3 linked regions of the Arabidopsis thaliana genome follow. The protein of the gene in region 2 interacts with the protein of the main gene of each other region in a biochemical or structural test. Each region holds a gene or a part of one and is shown on either strand. Other genes may lie near its edges.

Region 1 (3,757 bases), on a different chromosome or scaffold from region 2:
CCTCTCTGTGGGTTGGTGGACCTAAGACTTCTATCATCTGTGTCGTCAGAGAACAGGTTGGTACTATTTGTGTTTGGATCACTTTGATCAGATCCCACAAGATCAAAATCATAGCTCAACATATTCTTCTCAGCAAGTCCTAGCTGCCAAAACAAATATATGAAATCAATAGCATTAACTTCATGCATCAAGGTCTTTTATTTCAGAAGACGACAGATTGAGAGATATGGCTATCAAGTATTGCTCAAAAACAGTAAGATAAATAGAGAGAACTTGAGACAAGCAAAACAAACCATGCGTCTTCTTCTCCACATGTGTGTCCACAAGTTCAGAAGCTCGTTGGTGCGAAGAGGCTTCACAAGGTAGTCAGCTGCACCTAGCTTCAAGCACTTTACAACGACAGGGACTTCGTCTTGCCTCGACATCACTTAAATTGAGAATATTATAAGATTAGTCAGTATAAAGCTAATGATCATGCTGTCAAAAGCACTTTGATAAGCAGAGAAGATACAACTTCACGAATAGATAATAAAACGAGAAGAGCAACAAAGAACACAGCTTACTTATCACAGGGATTCTGCGAAGATCTTTGTCTCGTGTGATGTACCTCAGCATCTTCATACCCTTAGCCATTGGGAGATCAATTTCCGCCAGTATTATATCGATATCAGGTCCCTCTGCATTAAGTGCATCAATCACCTGCCTTGCTGATTTCACTGCAGTCACTGCATTCCAAAAAGAATAAAAACAATTCATCCAATATATCATCATTGAGTCTTGAACAACAAACAGTTGAGCATAGTGTAAAAATAGAAAGCAATACACACTAGAGATGCATTCAAAAACTATCAATAAGGTACTAAAATCAACAAAGGTTAAAAATGTCATCTTGATCACATCTGACCATACTGACTCAAAAAGCCAGACGACAAGAACCTATAAGAGATCTGCAATCTAAAGTAGTAATCCCAACTTAGCAAAAAATAACAAAGTAAAAAGAGAAACTTTGGGAACAAGACAAGGACAAACCTATAAATCATACCTTGATAAGAACACTCTGAAAGGAGAGTAAAAACCTCTCCCAAACTCGTGGAATCATTGTCACAAAGCAAAATCCTGACTCTGCTTCTATCAATAAACCCATCTCCTCCTTTACACTCACCGTTCAAATCCATGATCAGATTAACAACTAAACCCACACAAAAAAAATATCTAATCACAGAACCTAAGAAAAAAAAGGATTATACAAAAGTAGAAGAAGTAAAGCCGACAATAGTAAGTGCTATGATACTTCCATGGCCAAATCAGAACTAGGGTTTTTCGGTACAGTGTCCCTACAAAGTCGCCTAATTTATCCCCTTAACAAAGTCAAGTAATCTCACAACCAAACAAAAACTACTCTTTTAATCCCCCAACCTAATCCTTTATCCATAAGAACAAACAAAAAGATAAATCTAAGAACAAAGAGCTGAAATAGGAAATTCTTTTTTCTCTATATCGAATCATGAATCAACAAAAAAGCTCAACAAAAGTCACCGGAGATCCGGCGTAACGCCGGCGGTGAGATGAGGAGGAGAGAGAGAGAAGGTGAATTTCCGACAAGAAGAGTGAGAAGAGAAAGAAGACTCATTGTTTTGTTTTGTCAATCAATGGTCAAATTATGAGACGCGAAAAAGAGAGAGAGAGATGGTAAATCAGAGACCGTTGAAAGAGGATAGAATTGGACGGTGGAGATTAAGTCTTTTTCTTACGCGTTGTTGTGTAGCTTAATGGTGGGACTTGGGATATTTTAGGCCAAGGAGATGACGTGGACAATAAAAAGTGCAGGCCATAAAAAAAAAGGTTGTGTTGGATAGTTTGGTTGAGATAGAGAAAAGGCCACGTCATCTTGGAGAAAATATCTCATGATATTTATTTTTGTTTTTGATATTATTGTGGTAAGATACAAGATAAGAAGATGCATCTCCATATCAAAATCAACAAACATATCAAAAGGTCGACAGAAAGAAAAAATTGCAAATTCTTTTAAAATATATGACCAGATCAGACCAAACCATCAGAAACCAAATTTTAGGATTCGGCTTCGTTTCGTTTATTAAAATATATTTATAACAACAAGAAAATCTATTATCAGAATTTTATTTTTCTGTTATCTTTAGGTACTGAAGAATTAAAGATACAAACAAAATAAAAATAAAAAACGAAAGATACAGATATAGAAAATTTTACTTTTATTACATCTCAATTTCTCATCACAAAAGACTCCTAAAAATTATGATTCTTTCTAAAAGCACAGGGTTATAGATATAACACTCCTTTCATGGTTGTTATAGAGGACTTATTTAGGCATTATGATTCATTAACTTCTTAAAGTGATTGAAAAATCAAGCTAAATGATATGTTGTAACAAAGTTTCAAGTGTTTTTTTCTAATGTTATAAGTGTATGTGTGCAAATTGTCTTGTAAACAGGACATTAGCAAGATGAAATATTTACCTTCTTAGCAAAAAAGATGGTTAATCTCATCATCAGTGGTTGGGAAACAAATAATCAAGTTGTCATAATCATAAAAAGAGATAATTAGTAGGCTAAACTTTTATATAGAAAGTAAGTAGTCGACAAGCTAAAATATTTCGTATTACCGATTGGCTCATATTAGTAGCTGCGAATATCGTTAGTACAAGTGGACCAATAATGCATGATATATTCTCAACTTCATCCACCGTAAGACACGTTTTGTCCCGGTCCAACTTTTATTACGTTTTGCCATCGACCATTGACCAATAACTTGTTTATGACTTTATGATGTTAATTATTCGTGTAATTTCAGAACTATTTTATCGGGAGTTCGATTTTCCAATATGCATCGGCGGCCTTCGAGAGTAATCATTCCGGTTAGTGACTTATAAGTTATAACCATCGTATCTCACGATTATCGGTTTTATCCGGTTCTGAATTTGAAGCGTGATGGAATGTAAAAGACTAAAATGCCCTTTTCAGACACGCGGGCAATGTTTCCAACAAATGAATATATATTGTTGTTGAGCCGAGCGATCTCATGAAATCTGCAAATTTAGGTCTTTTAATAGAAATCTGAATTTCATGTTGCTGAAAGAATTTACAACGAAGTTGTAAATACTCTGAGAAACATGTAAGTCAGGAGAGAGTCCCTTCTATGGTTTATATTTGGCGGCTTTTAAGAAGCATACGCATATCAAGTGTTTGATGAAATTCCTCAGAGAAGATGATGTCCACCACAGTCAGATTAAACAGGTTTACGTATCTAACGAGTACTGCAAAACTGACACGTTACTTTTGCTCTCACCATTTAGTTGACCGATCGGAAACGGCGTTGCATGAAGTTATTCGGATAGTTTCTTCTCCAGTTGGTGGTCTAGATGACCTTGAAGAAAACTTGAACCAGGTTTCTGTTTCTCCATCATCAAACCTTGTTACCCAAGTGATTGAGTCTTGCAAGAACGAGACTTCACCGAGAAGGCTGTTGAGGTTTTTCTCCTGGTCGTGTAAAAGCTTGGGATCTAGTTTACACGACAAGGAATTCAACTATGTCCTAAGAGTTTTGGCTGAGAAGAAGGATCACACAGCTATGCAGATACTCTTATCAGATCTCAGGAAGGAGAATCGGGCGATGGACAAGCAAACGTTTAGCATTGTCGCTGAAACTCTGGTTAAGGTTGGTAAGGAAGAAGATGCAATAGGTATCTTCAAGATCTTGGACAAATTTTCTTGCCCACAAG
Region 2 (3,757 bases):
CCTCCAAACACTACTAAACGGGAACCGTTGACACAAGAAAGTGTGTGACCCCAGCGACCCGGAGGAGGAGAGCTGACCAGAACAGATTTCCACTCGGGACTACTCGAGCCAAGGTCCAACACAAATGTATCATTCATCGGCTGCATATTCACACCTTCCCCGCCAAAGATAACAATCCTGTTCCCAACTGCACATGCGCTGAAATTACACCGAGAAGGCTCAACAGTACCTCCAACTGAAAACTTCCTCCATGCTGTTGCTTCGTGAGTGGTGAACTCTCGGGCCAGTCGCACCCAACCAATCCTTTTTGCACCGGGAACACTCTCAAGAACACGTGTTGCCTCGGTACCCCATGTGTTTTGACAGACCATTCTCCACACATCATCATTCTTTGTCAACTCATTGAGCCGCCTACATACACAACCAACCGATGCAATATCACCAGGAGTCAACTGTGACAATATCTTGATAGCTATTACTTCATCACTCAGTTCGAATATCCCACAGAGTCCACGAGAAACATTACGCTCTCCGATTGGTAAAGCAGAAGTAAATGAGCGAGATATTCTAGGAATTTCTTTTGCAGATAAATCAGGAGATGGGCCAAGATCAATTTTTGCATCTGTAAATAAGAGAACGCCTATGAAATGAGTGATTTCGTCTTCTTCACGGATAGGGACTAGACGCAGCTTGTTCATCAAGGGAGATCCATCTTTCCGAAAGTTGAGCAACTCGCCTTGAAACTCGATGCCATTTTCTAGACATTGTCGCATCTTCGCTACAATTGTAGAATCTACCATTGGATGCCTTCTTTTAGTAAATGGCCCTCTACATTGCAAGAAACGGCTGCCAAATAAAAAACAACAGCACAAATCAGATACAAGACCCTCCTATTCAATTCATCGAATAGATAACTAACAACTAAACAGATACAGTACTTTGGCGAACAATTCCTCACACACAAGTATTGAACAAAGACTAAACTATATGCATAATTAACATGGAATACCAGATCAAAAGCCGCTAAAACCCAAGAGAAACATATTCAACAGAAACATATATACTTAGACAAAAACGCATTACAATTCAATATTACAAAAATCAATAATCCCAAGGCTTTCATAAACCAATCAAGACATGTGAAAAACTATCAAAGTTCGAGTTCCTAAACACTAATCCACAGACATAGGAAACATTACAAACTGAACCTCACATTATAGCTTAGTTCCTCCACAACAAACTTCTAATTCAATAACCAACCCATGATTCCAAAATGGTTCTAGCTAATAATACCTAACATAATCAACAAGAACCATAATAATGAATCGAAATATAAATTTCTTTCTGTCAAAACAGCTTTCAACAAAGCTTTCTAGTAACATCGTACCAATACCACAAATGAGACAAAATTCGCTACAGTAAAACAAAATCAACACCACAAATTTAGGGTAAAAGTCAAGAAGAGCAAACTCACCAATTTCGACCAATAACTTCTTCAGCTCGATAACCAGTAACAATCTCAAAAACAGTGTTAACATAAATGATAGGGTTGTCAGGTTCAAGAGCATCGCTGACCACAAACCCACACGGCGCCGTGCCAGGAAGACTACCTACCGGAAACGGAATCGCTCCGTTATCTCCACCGAACCATCCATCCTCCGCCACTTCATCTCCACCGCTGAGATCGGAATCACTATCCCACTCCATTTGATTTTGCATACACACCCACAAAATAAAGCTTAAGCCCACTAATCTTCTTCCTCAGCAACAGGAGAAGAGACCCAGAAGAACAAAGTTTGATTTTGAATCGAGGAATCTGATATCTGTAGGTAATCGAAGTCTCCACAGGAAAAAAGTTCCAAACTTTAGACAAACCCAGAAATCGTCTTCTTCAGGAACAGGAGATAGAAGAACAGATTTTGAAATGGAATCGAGCGAAGAAAAGAGGAATCTGATATTTGTAGGTAATGGAAGTCTCCACCGCCCACTTCTAAGAGGAGGAGAAGAAGAAGAAGAGAGATGATTCGGTCGGTCGATGACTCGGCTCTTCTCAGTGCCTCTCCTTTTCCATCTTTAACCAGACCGGTTTCTTAATTTTACCTTACCGGTTTAGTTTATCTATCCGGTTTACACAAAATATCCTGTAAGTTTCTTATGAGATTTTTTTGGTTTTACCAAATGAGTGTATTAGAATCAGTTTTATTGATTTAAAAACATTAGAAACTTGAATTTATCATGAAACCATTGCATCCAAAACCCAATTCTTGCTCATCGAAACGTTCTCCGTCTTTGCTGAATCCAGTAATAGCTTCAAGCCAATCAATATTTTCCTCTTCTTCTAGAGCAACAAAAGCCGATGCATAGTTGGCTTGAGCAAGACATCGTACTGCAGCCCGCCAGAATGGTGTACGCTTCGGGACATCAAGACGTCTAAGAGCGTTAATAACATCTTGATACAAAAGTACAACACCCCGTCTTTCACGATACTCCGTAATAAAGTTTCCACTATTTTCGATCACGCTTTCAATGATAGACCTTCTTCGAGGTTGCCTTGCACGTCTAGAAGAAGTTTGTACACTGTTACGTGTTTGTGTTACGCCTTGGTTTTGGGTGGTGTCTGCCATATAATCTTGTGTGTTTAGAGGGTAGACATCATCTTCAACTATCCTAAAAGACGCTTTATGCAAATGGAAGAAGGCTTTTACTAAAGGTCAAACCACATTTTTCTGCGGTTTTGTCTTTGCTCTGCAAGTAAAGTTTTTATGTGAAACAAAAACTAATTATGTTGATGTTGATTATTTGTATAATGTTAATTGTTTTTTATTTTTTCGTGTAGGTATTTGCATTAGAGCGATTTACTATCTTTCAACAACTATTTCCATCCAGTTTTCCTTTAATGGTTGAGTGGGCAAAGATATATAAACCGTATACCAAAAATTGTGCCAACAGAAGTGGGGGACACTATCAAGAGATGCTTGTAGACATGAAGGAAGATGAGGTACCTAACAAAATTTCATCTCTTTGTCATATGCATTTGTTCTATATTAAATACTTAGATTATATTTTTTCAGATTAAGTGGCAGCCATATAGCAAAGTTATATTGCCCAAGGAATACACCTCTCAATTGAGTATGGTATTTGCACATGTTCCATGCATCTGCTTTAACACCATCGCATACAACCGAACTATTTGGGAGAGCCACTAAATAGTTTTCCGATTAGGAATGACGAGACCTTGGAGATGGGAGAGCCACCAAACAAGTGGAATGAAAGCAATAGATGGGTTGACCATTCACATGTCACTGAGGTGGTCGAGACTTTGCCGGAGAAAACCAGTAAATCGGCTGATGCAAATGTGAATTGTCTTTTTTTTTTTTTTCTAATACAAATGAATTTGGTTCTCACTTTACTTGATTTAACAGCTGGAGTCCTTGGATGAAAATCACAAGGAAGCGAATGAAGAGGAGGGAGCGAATGAAACGATGGGAGTGAATGAACAAGAGGGAGCGAATGAAACAGTTAGTCATTCTCAATAATACAAATGAATTTGGTTTTGTAACATATACTCTAGGATATTAGAAAACTAAATATTAATAACTGGCAGGAAAGAAGTGATCTTCGACTTCTTAAAAGAGGAAGAGACGAACTACTTAGAAGTGAAGGAAAATTAAAACCAACCGATAGATGTACTCCATCTTTTTCGCACCAGAAACATGCAGGGGAACAAGAAACAAAAATTCCGCTTGATAGCCTCGTT
Region 3 (3,757 bases), on a different chromosome or scaffold from region 2:
TGAAATGCCAACGCAACAACGGTCCACACCAACTTTTTACCATTAATGTTATCTTCCAACATTTCCTGACAAATGAAGAAAGAAAGTAAAAAAGGTAAATCAAATAGTGTACAGAGAACCAAAACATGTAAAGGAATAAAGGCAATCACTAGAAAGAAGAAAAGAGTTTGATTCTCAAAAACTCATCATTCTCCAGTATCATCTATACATACAATCAATCATACATATATACATATACATATGTAACTCTAAATCTGTTCATGGAAATTGTGTGATCTTGATAGAGCAGCAGGGTTAGCAGAAAGAACAGGGGAGTTCTCAGCTTTGTCGTTGTTATACATCTTTGTCTTATGATCAAACCCTTTGAACATACCACCGGCTTTGCACATCGCCTCGTTCTTGATTCCCAATGTTGTCCATATCGAGCTCTTTGCTGCTTCGTTAGGATCATCTATTCTCAACGTTTTCGGGACCAGAACGCACCCGGCCTTCTGTTTTCGCTCTGTCTCGTTGTCCTTTTTCGATGATCCTTCATCTCTCGGATGCTTTCCGAGAGTCGGAGAGTTTGTATTTGAACACTTTTGGCTTATAGGCGATGAGGATTGATGCGGTGGTAGCATTGGGATGGTCCAGTAAGGGTAAAACGGCATTGGATACCCTGGAGGCGGGTAAAAACCTGGTGGAGGCATCGCTGGATTCCACGTGTAAGGCCATGGAACACCTGGGATGCAAGCATAACCATTCATGTTATTGTTGTTGTTGTTGTTCATTTGTGCTTCAACAACACTGCCGCTTTGTGCTCTTGATTCATCCACTGAGTGATTGTTAGAGGTGGTCACAGAGGATCCGCTTGAGCAATCATCTCCATTCTCTACCCGAGCTACAAGCCGTTGATCCGCTAACCCGTGAAACCTGTTCCTAGCACCGTTTGAGACCTTTTGATCTTCTTGTAGCTTCATCACAGGTGTCATGGGAGCAGCAACGTGCTGCTGCTGAGCTTCGAGACCAAAACTCAAGACCCTTGTGTTTGCCTGTAAGCCCGGGTCAAGCCTCGCAGCCTCAAGAGCCTCGGAAATAGTGATGTGACGGTAATGAGAAGATGAGCTTTTGTTCTTACGACGTCCTGCCCCCACAGGAACATTCCTCATAGTCCCTCCAGCAGTCCAATATCTCTGACAAGCCTTGCAGAAATGACGAGGCTGGTTTATGTTGTAGTTGTTGTAATAACAGAACTTGGTCTCCATGCTTTTGCATCTCGGACACGGTAGAATCTTAGTCGGTTTCTTTAGGGTTTTACCATCAGGTGTCGTCTGCTGATTATCCTCAGGCGTGTCACTACTCTCTATCTGATCAGTTGATGTCGCTTCCTCTTTGTCCAAGGTTTCGGGTTTCGAATTGTTAAAACTGTTGTCGTTACAGTTGTTGTTGTTCTTATCTGATAACTCTGGAGTTACCTGAGATACAAGAAACACTAAATTAAGAACACTTGCAATGAATAAAAGAAGTTTCTCTTTATGAAATCTTAATCAAACAATTATTCTTCATCAGAAGTTCAGAACCAATAATCTCTAACAACTAAATGAACTAGTAATATCTTAATGGTAACACAAGACTGGAACTATGTTATAATTTCGTTCATGTAACTCAATAACACAAATTGTAGATCCAAAACAGACAAAACAGAGACTGAAGAAGTAACTAGTTAAGTTAATTACTAGTACAAAACTAATCTAATCATATTTATTTTTAGGACAATTCCAATTTTCAGGCCAAAATTACTTTTTATCAATCAGTACCTTCTCTGGTGATTTGTCATCTCCGCCGCTCCAGTCATCTTCTTCGTCATCCTCCACCGTAACTGCCGATTCAAAAACCGACGGAAAAGGGATTTTCATACCGAAAAGCTTAATAGCTGGATCTCTAGTCTCCATCATCATTTTTTTGGAGCCTCTGTTTCTTCTTCTCTCTATGTCTCTGTGATTTTTTTTTTTGTTGTTAAAGAAGAGAGATTTGGGAGAGTGTGAATTGGTGAAATTTAGGGATTTAGAAGATCAGTTTAAAAGAGAAGGAGGAAACACGTCAGCATCACAATTCAATTCTCAGCCACAAGTTTATGTGGCCTCTGATATTTTCCTTTTCGCTCATTAATACCGGGTCGGGTTGTCGGGTTTTATTAATTAATCATTAATATTTCCTACCTTTTTATGTGTATTATTCGCATCTAATCCTTTTTTTTTGTTCCTTTATTTTCTGTCGCACATATTTATTCGATCATTCAAAACTATATATATATATATATATATAATATTAATCATAAACTTAAAAGTATCAGTTTTTTTTAGTTTCCTATCAGAAAAGAAGTTAATTTTTATTGTGAAAATTTGTTTATTTGTTTTTTATAATTGGCGTTTAAAAATGAAGCAACATATTATATTGGTTATTAATGTACTGATTTTTTTTGCTTTATAAATCATCTCTACATATTTTTCTCTTCATTAAAAACTGTAATAGAGGATAATTGTTGGATGTACCATGGATTCAAAGAATTTTGTAAATCATCGAGTGCAAACTATAATAATAGTGCTCAAATTTGATAGATTCTAGGATTTTCGTTCAACTTTACTTATAGTTGTAAAATTTGGCACTGATTGTAAAACAAATTTCACTGTAAGCATCATGACACTTCAAAATTACTTAATACTTTTTTTTACATCATTACATGGTATTTGTATTCATTTTAAATGTTAACTATAATCTTTGGCAATCTCTCGGTCATTCGTCTACCAATTTTTAGGTAAAAAATTTCATACTAAAAGTTTTTATTGTCATATAACTTTTATGCAAAATAACATCACAATCGATATGAAAAAAAAAAACACAATCTATGTAATAATTAGGATTTGACTATGTAGATGTTTTCCTAATTTATAACATTACCGTTTTGTATAATTTATTTCTTTAGATTAGATTCTATACAACTAAACATTTTGCTATACCATAGGACAGTTTGATTTTCTATAGAATAGATATTAGACCTCGTTGGAATTGGATATCAGTTTTTTCTAACTGGATAAAGCAACCCCAAATCAAATTTAGTAATGATACTAGTCGATCCGAAAAAGTTGTTGAGTATGGTGATAAGGGTGAGTTCGTAATAGCTGTTGTGTAGATTATAAAACTTGGCCAATACTATGTCTTCAAAAAACTTGATCTCTTGGATGACTACAAAACTGCATATCTGAAAGTAGTTTATGCACATTCAATGGAGTGGAGGTTTAGGCAACCCTCCATTCCAGATATTGCTGTGAACTAGATGATGTTTTCATCCTTCTTTAGTAAGAAGAGAATAATCTCTTTGACTATTTTCTTAGTTTGTTGTCTCTTATTTTAGTGTTCAAACATTTTTTTGGTTTGGCCCAATAGTAACTAAAACTCTTTCATATTGATATAGTAATAATGCCATGGTCTCTCTTTCTTAATAGTCTGATATCTATTTCGTTTGATTTTCTTTTTTGCTTTCATTTGGTGATTTTGTTCCTTTATTCTTACCATTAAACTTGTGTTTTATGGTTTTGTTCTAAAGAATTTATGGACGTAAAGAAAAAAAAAAGATAAAGAGATTTAAGATCAGAATAAGAGCAAAAAAAAAAAAAAGCAAAGGAGGTTGGATTTTAATGTCATGTCAATAGATAATTGGCTGTGAACAAAAAGGTTTTTAGGTCTCTGCCACATTGTACAAATACCAACATGAGGATTT

Evidence for each region.
Region 1: the proteins of LKP2 (region 2) and TOC1 form a complex in vitro, tested with the Arabidopsis thaliana proteins (one study listed by BioGRID).
Region 3: the proteins of LKP2 (region 2) and CDF3 form a complex in vitro, tested with the Arabidopsis thaliana proteins (one study listed by BioGRID).

Annotation. Positions count from the first base shown.
Region 1 is NC_003076.8:24,672,958-24,676,714, reverse strand, and holds the start of TOC1 (CCT motif -containing response regulator protein), read right to left. Parts: upstream 1,753-3,757; 5' UTR 1,176-1,752; coding exon 1,043-1,175; intron 726-1,042; coding exon 564-725; intron 428-563; coding exon 294-427; intron 144-293; coding exon 1-143. Other genes in the region: AT5G61370 (Pentatricopeptide repeat (PPR) superfamily protein), read left to right, coding at 3,244-3,757. UniProt on the Arabidopsis thaliana protein: Controls photoperiodic flowering response. Component of the circadian clock. Expression of several members of the ARR-like family is controlled by circadian rhythm.
Region 2 is NC_003071.7:8,195,537-8,199,293, forward strand, and holds the start of LKP2 (LOV KELCH protein 2), read right to left. Parts: upstream 1,948-3,757; 5' UTR 1,720-1,947; coding exon 1,475-1,719; intron 847-1,474; coding exon 1-846. Other genes in the region: AT2G18920 (uncharacterized protein), read right to left, coding at 2,217-2,624.
Region 3 is NC_003074.8:17,504,028-17,507,784, forward strand, and holds the start of CDF3 (cycling DOF factor 3), read right to left. Parts: upstream 2,098-3,757; 5' UTR 1,938-2,097; coding exon 1,797-1,937; intron 1,455-1,796; coding exon 249-1,454; 3' UTR 1-248. UniProt on the Arabidopsis thaliana protein: Transcription factor that binds specifically to a 5'-AA[AG]G-3' consensus core sequence. Regulates a photoperiodic flowering response. Transcriptional repressor of 'CONSTANS' expression.